2 linked regions of the Saccharomyces cerevisiae S288C genome follow. The gene in region 2 interacts genetically with the main gene of each other region. Each region holds a gene or a part of one and is shown on either strand. Other genes may lie near its edges.

Region 1 (4,877 bases), on a different chromosome or scaffold from region 2:
AATTTGTCACAAAACTGCTCCGATCTATAACGTATACCGATAAATTGAATCAGAACCTTTGCTCCTGTGTACAAAGTTACTAGAAGAGCAAATTCATATGATTCGGATGGCGACCTCTCTACACGTTTAATGGTAGAAATATTCAGTATTAGTACGCACGATGAATGATCAAATGCATCTCGAAATACCAGAAAATGAGGTGTTAAAAACAATCTCCCGGAATACACATAAGCAGTTTTTCTCCCTTTATTGTTCACTCTATCAGAATGCCCTTTTCCATCTTTAATGGAAGTTGCAAATGAAACTTCTGCATTCGTATCTTCCAAAATGTTTTCATTAGCTGGAAGTTTATATTTTAATCTGAATTTCTCATCTCTGGTTAATGTTGGAGTGAAACTGTCTGCCAGTTTATCCAAAAAGGGTGCCTTTTGACGTAAAGAATCAAAAAATGACATATCCTATCCTTTAACTAATAATTGTATCAACTCTGAGGTTGTTCGGTGCTTTAATTGATGGATCAGTGCTTTCAAAATGTACAATTTCTTAAATGTTGTTGGGCCCTTACCAAGCAGATTTGTTCAGGCCTTTTCTTATTGAAGTTCTTTTTCCCAGTTGCAGGAGTCGGCCGACCTTCTGAAATAATATGCTGTGCATTAAATACTAACGACGCTGACAGAGAACGCACTAAATTTATTCAAATATGTATCATAAGATTGGTACAAATAACTATGCTACTAACCTTTATTGAGAGAAATTCCTTCCTCTATGGCTGAACTAATTATATGATTCATCAACTCCGTCATGGATTCAAAATCGTGGACCGGGTTAGCGCAAGAGTATATGATACGCAGTGTTGTTAAATAATGCGACTTAAAAAGCTGATTGTATGTGCCTACGTCAATTCCATTAAGCCAACCGTGTGCTAGCGGATAGAAGAATAGACCAGCATATTTTCTAAAGCGGTTTTGCGTTCCTTTTTCTCGATCCTTGCCTAGTTTTCTAGATTTCCATACTGTTTTCGTCTTCTTTATCATACTTGTTGACTCTTGAACTTCAACAAGCCTACTATTATGATGGCTTTGATCATCCCACGGTAAACGATTTGTTGGAAAATCAAACTTGGGCTTGACAATAGTAGGATCATCAAGCCCTCTCAACTCTCTTGCAGAAAGACCCAGAGCCGACAATAGTGACATCCTTTGCTGTAACGACAGTTCTGAATTGAATAGAATATTTATAGCGCCATTCACCTTCTCTGGAAGGACGACCAGTATGCTTGTTAGAGCGTTTATTCTCCACTGCTCGAAAAGCGGTTCATCAAATTCATTATTCAAGCACACAATGCTTGACAGAATACCTTGTGCATAATAGCCAACCTCTAACTGAAAATCCGCCTTTTGCCGTATCAATTTCACTGTTTGCTTCAGAAGTGGTATCAATGGAGCTTTTCGAGATTCCCCAGTTTTTTCGTATTCTTTCATTAAATCTTTTAAAAATACAATTCGTTTAACAATCTCCCGCTCATCGTTCTCATCTTCATCATCGCTATCACTGCAGTCCAATGTAAGGCTTTGAACATGACCCGAGACCTCAGTAATCTTATCCTTACCCACATCAGTTTGGGTATTGCATATGGATGGATTTTTTAAAGATTGGAAATCAATGATTTTATCATCGCTATTGCTTTCGAATTTGACATTCGGTATATTGATTTTAAAATCACTTTCGTACTTCAGATGACCGCCTGATAAAAGCTTGGCAATAAACATCGCACGCTCCCTTGCCTCACGTTCATTGCTACCTAAATGTTTGGTCACGCCATTCAAAAACCGCTCATCGTGTGCTATTTCCTCTCTCTGGGAATGATTGAGATTGTGCACTGCAAAGAGTACAAGCAATTCACATGTCTTTGTGTCTACTTCCTCATCTGTAAAATCAGCAAATTTACTTACCAAAGCGCTAACAAACTTCGTGGAAGAGTGGTTGCTCATCAGACGTACTATCACTTCCTTCAATGGCAGCGACTGTATTTCAAATAATACGGACAGACTTATGATTTTATCGAGATCAAACCGCCGCAGAATTTTCCTAACATCGTTCAAATTTTCTAAAGTCACGATAACTTGAATATATGGTAATAAAAACTTAGCAATCAGCCTCTTTTGATCTATCAGACTACTAGCAGATATGATTTTCTGAAAAGAAAAGAAATACGACTCTTTCAATAAAAATAATTCGCCTAATAACATATCTGCCGCTAGCACTGGGTTAAGCAAAAATGATGAAACTAACCATTCCCCTAAAAACCCAGGTGGATCTGTTTCATTACTCTCAAGTAGAAATTTCCACTGAAGCCGAAGGTATCCCAAATATTTCGCCATATCAATTCGGTTGGCCAACACATTAAATAACTTGCTCCCAAAGAAAAGGGCCTTAATGCTATCACGGTCTGCTTTGCTAGTAGTGCTTGCCTTTAAATAAAAAGTCAAACATCCCGGTTCAAAACTGATGATGTCTTCTAAAATTTCTTGGTATATGCGTATCTCTTGCAGTCCATCGCGGCCACTTATTGTCCTTGAGAAGGTGACAATTTGGCATAAAAATGTAAACGATTTAGAAGCTAGCCGTCTCAATATCACCTTCGATCTTTCTGGTAGTGATGGATAAACTGGAATTACGAATTTTATGAGAACCATCGAGGCATCTAGATCCACCGGTTCGCGAGGATAGGAATCTAGTTGTATTAAAGCTTCATGTATTTGACTGCTGTCAAGCCCTTGTTTCAGCGTTTCTAAAACCATTTCATGAGGAATTAAATGCGTATAAAGTAGCTCGATTCACGTTCTATTAGCGGCAACCTGTCCACAAGTACTTATTGTCTGCATTTCTTGGTGTTTGTTTTTATTTTCTTTCTTTTCAAACTTCACGGGTCTTTACAGAAAAGAGGTAAACAAACAAAAACAAGAACATGGATACAAAGCCCATCCACGTAACATTGCGCATTTGAAGCGAGAAGCTTACCACAATTAGTTAAATTCCTTTTGGAGGAATATAGACACTCTATCATCAGAAACATCCGAATTATTTTAGTTAGGACACGTTTCACAGGAGCATCTGGCTATAGCATATTTTTCTTTTCCTTCTAACTGCGAGCATAGTAAAAAGTTGACCTAAACCCAACATTTTTGAGGCTAACCTAGTAATAATTTAACCTAGGCACGAAGTGCTTATAAATTAAGGAATGATGGTAAAACAGGAGGAACCGCTGAATGAGATTAGTCCGAATACTCCGATGACTAGCAAGTCCTACCTTTTAAACGACACGCTTTCGAAAGTACATCATAGTGGCCAAACTAGACCACTGACCTCGGTGTTGTCTGGAGACGCCTCATCCAATTCTATTGGCATACTAGCAATGCATAATAACATAATACGTGACTTTACAAAAATTGCAAGCAATAACATAGACTTAGCCATTGAGGATATTACCACTGTTGACCATTCATTAAATTCAATATATAGCCTATTGAAGAGCCATCACATGTGGGGCCATATAAACTCCACTGTTAAACAACATTTGATGATAATTGTTAAACTAATAAATAATAACGCATTAGGATTGGCCTCCTCTGAAATTATTTTTCTTTTCAATGAAACGAATTTATTTCAAGCTCATAGTCTGAAAAACATTCTTCTAGCAGACTTCAGTACGTGGAACGACTACTATCTTTCAAATCTGAAAATATTAGCGCTGCAGATTATACTGAAAAGAAAGCTAGTAGACGAATACTTACCGCATATATTAGAACTATTTTCCCATGATAAAAGATATCTTTTGAAAGACCCTAACCTCAAAGCTCACGCTCTCACAAAAATCGTGCTGAGCTTTTTTTCTGTCACGACGAGTTGCAAAGTTCTATTCGGGCTAAAATTTCTACAATATATCAAACAGTTCAAATTACCTTTTAAAAAGTTCATTAGCAACATTACCGTCGAGTGTTTTAGCAAAAACCTTCTTCATAAAAATTATTTGGAGATGGGACCTAATAAAATATATTTAAATTCATTTTACTTATCCTATTCCATGCTGTACGATGGATTGGATAAAATAATGCTTCTAGACATTTTAAGTTACGAAGAAACTACTGAGGTACAAAGAGCGATAAAAAGTAAAAAAGAATTCAATGAATACTGCAACATGAGTGAAAACCGTCTTCTCTGGTCCTGTATATCTGTCGATGATTTGAACGTAATACTCGAAAATGCAACGAATTTTCTACAAAATAAAGGGAAACATATATCCGCAACATTAAAATGTTTAGTCTGTCTTTGGTCTACTATTCGCCTAGAGGGATTACCTAAAAATAAGGATATATTGAGGCAGTTTGATTGTACTGTTATTTATATCAACTCAAATATTAAATCCATTAATGACGAATCTGCGGCGGCATTATTATCCGAACTTCTGGGAGTTTTATCAGAAATTTGTATCGATTATAAAGAGCCTAAACGACTGTCAAATATTATCAGTGTCCTTTTCAATGCTTCTGTTTTATTTAAGAGTCATTCGTTTTTGTTAAAGACTGCTAATTTGGAAATCTCAAATGTTTTAATCAGTAATGATTCAAAAACATCTCATCGTACTATACTGAAATTTGAAAAATTTATATCTAGTGCTCAGAGTGCCCAGAAAAAAATTGAAATCTTTTCCTGTTTGTTCAATGTATATTGCATGCTACGAAATGATACGCTATCATTTGTTTTTGACTTTTGCCAAAATGCATTCATTCATTGCTTTACACGCCTAAAAATCACAAAATTCATCGAGTTTTCAAACAGTTCAGAAATTATGCTTTCAGTACTGTATGGAAATTCAT
Region 2 (3,055 bases):
TTTAATGAAATCATTCTTGACTTTGGATACAGATGCCCGTGTCATCCGTTTGGAGACTTTTTCTAAAATTTTTGCTCCTGGATTAAGGTTATCCTTCATCGTTGCTAATAAATTCCTTTTGCAAAAAATCTTGGATTTGGCCGACATTACTACAAGGGCCCCCAGTGGTACCTCACAAGCTATTGTTTATTCTACAATAAAGGCAATGGCTGAGTCCAACTTATCGTCCTCTCTTTCTATGAAAGAAGCAATGTTTGAGGGTTGGATAAGATGGATAATGCAGATTGCTTCTAAATACAATCATAGGAAAAATCTTACTTTGAAAGCCTTATACGAAACAGAATCTTACCAAGCTGGTCAGTTTACCGTTATGGAACCCTCCGCGGGTATGTTCATCATTATTAAAATCAATTGGGGGAATTTCGATAGACCTGACGATTTGCCGCAACAGATGGATATTTTAGATAAGTTCTTGCTGAAGAATGGTGTTAAAGTAGTGCTTGGTTATAAAATGGCTGTTTGCCCAAATTATTCAAAGCAGAATTCAGATTTTCTAAGACTCACCATCGCCTATGCAAGGGATGATGATCAGTTGATTGAAGCTTCCAAAAGAATCGGTAGTGGCATAAAAGAATTTTTTGACAACTATAAAAGTTGAACAGTGAAGATTAAACCTATGTGTTATTTGCATATCATATATAAATTGTAGTTTTTTGTATAAAAGTTGGGAAAAAGTTATAGTCGCGTATATTTTAAATTACTCTAAGCAACTAAATGGTCACGGTTTAGAGCATGAACTTCTGAATCCTTTTCCAAATTGCATTTAGCACCGTACTCGCTTTCAATATAGCTCAAACGTTCTTTCAGACCGTCCAAAATTTGGTCGCTATCAGGTAAGTCCACTGTAAAGCCCTTTATCAAGCTATATTCGTGTGTTATTTTACCCCCTATGTCCACCACATATTTTTTGACATCTTCAATAATGCTATTCTGGTCCGTAGCCATATTATCCGTCTTGGGGAAAGTTACGATGTATGATGATAAGGAAGATGCCTGTGCCATGGAGAATATGCTAATGAAAATCAAAACTAAGTAACTGGCCTTCATATATATGCTATAGTCTGTTACACAATAGATTTAAATGTTGTAATATAACGAGGAAACGCAACTTATCCATTTGTTCTCTCCATCGCATCGCTTTTTCTTAAATACTTTTGCCCCCCACCCCTTTATCCACTTGCGTTTTCCTCTTTTCTTCGCCTCTTTTTGGTAGCGCCGACCGATCTAATCGGAATAATCAAATTTAATAGGAACTGAATATTAGAAATTATTGAAGTCAATATACTGTAAAAACTATAAATCCTGTAACGAACATAAAAAAAGAAAACATAAAGGAAGCGCGTGATGTATCAGTAACATCACATAGTACAATAAAAAAGAAAGAGAACACTGATAATAACTGTACTGAAGACAAACAATTAGGAAAGTAACGACGATCTTTCTTTCGTCCAGTCATCATAACAATATGTGTTTTTGTTTTTGTTTTTGTTTTTGTTTTTGTTTTTGTTTTTGTTTTTATTTTATTTATTTTTTGCTTATTTTCGTAGTACACAACACATAATCATCTTATTGTTGACTAACAGGGAAGATTTGTTGTAACTCGCTACTACTTGTGACTTGATTATGGATAGCAATAGACAACAAAGTTTGCGCTTGGATTGGTGACAAGTACCCAGCAGAAATTGCACCTTGTGGAATACTTGTGTTACTTATGAACCCAATTCCTGAACCATCATGACCACTGGATCCATCACTTGCATAAACGACAGGGAAGTCGACCGATGTCCATGATGCCACGGTACTGTTGTGACTTGTACCAGAGCTGACAACAACCAAACCTTGGATACTAGAACTTAGTGATTGAATTAAGCTTTGAGAATATCCTTCTTCGTATATAATTGGAACCAATGGACTGGAGGATGATGAGGATGTATTGGTCCCGGAGGAGGCATTAGAAGATATTTGTGCGCTCGTAAAATTCGAGTATTGAGTTCTGATTGTGGAGTTGCTGGCAATCAGAGTTGGCTCACAGGCATCAAAGAACCATTGAACATTCTTCTGACCAGACAAAACGCCCACAGGAACAGTGTAAGGAGGGAAAACACCAGAATACACAACTTTATCTCTACCGGCAACCAAAGTGCCTCTACCTTCCGCGTCCGAACTACTCAATATTGGTACACCCCATAAGAAATTCTCAGTAATGACAATGGTCTTTGATGTATTAAAAACGATTGAGCAGAAGAAACTCAAAGTTTCAATGGAACGCCAGTTTGTGACGATTATAATGCCGGAAGACGATTCGCTTTGTAAAGTCTGATTAACTTGAGTAGCAATTTGGTAAAGTTGAGTGATGTTTAAGGTGGAAGTAGAGTTGAATAGCGTTGTGGTAGTAACGTTTGACTGGCTACCAGATACAGCAGGTCCACCCGTGATGATCACGGGGACCGTACCGCCGCCAGAAGTAACGTTCTGCCTCTTGTAAAGTGGTGTTGCAGAAGCTGTTAAAGTTGCAAGAAAAAATGCTAGCACTGATGTGAATTTCATAATAGCTGATTGGGTTCTTAGATGTGAAAACTGATCGAAATCAAATACTAGAGCATGATTGATAGGAACAAGAGAAACCAAAAGTGTTTTTAGCTTTCCTCCCAATTTTTATAGTATTCTAATGAGTAACGTCTTAGGGGAATTTTCAACAAGGCATTTCTAAAAGGGGATGCTAGTTGCACATTCTGAGAGAATCATTTGTACACGTTTTTCCCTATTTTCTGCTCATAAACCGAGGATCATCAGCGTTAAATGTAATTGCTAAGCCAAGAACTTTTGCTACTCTAACATTACATATTTGAAGGGTACAGTGAGATTCCCCAACAGGAATTCGCTTCTGTACATCAGCCGGTATTCGCTGAGAACTACTGTAGCCCTTAACTGTTGAATGATCTTTTTCTGGTAGATCATCGGCTTCTTTTGACGCAGGAAAAGGCCCGTGTCACTT

The links.
Region 1: mutations in YHR138C (region 2) and TEL2 together harm fitness more than expected from each alone (negative genetic interaction), as found in Saccharomyces cerevisiae (2 studies listed by BioGRID).

Annotation. Positions count from the first base shown.
Region 1 is NC_001139.9:685,823-690,699, reverse strand, and holds TEL2 (Tel2p), read right to left. Parts: upstream 2,802-4,877; coding exon 735-2,801; downstream 1-734. Other genes in the region: GTPase-activating protein MDR1, read right to left, coding at 1-455; ESP1 (separase), read left to right, coding at 3,242-4,877. UniProt on the Saccharomyces cerevisiae protein: Part of the TTT complex that is required to stabilize protein levels of the phosphatidylinositol 3-kinase-related protein kinase (PIKK) family proteins. Required for telomere length regulation and telomere position effect.
Region 2 is NC_001140.6:376,593-379,647, forward strand, and holds YHR138C (uncharacterized protein), read right to left. Parts: upstream 1,108-3,055; coding exon 763-1,107; downstream 1-762. Other genes in the region: ARO9 (aromatic-amino-acid:2-oxoglutarate transaminase), read left to right, coding at 1-658; SPS100 (Sps100p), read right to left, coding at 1,627-2,607.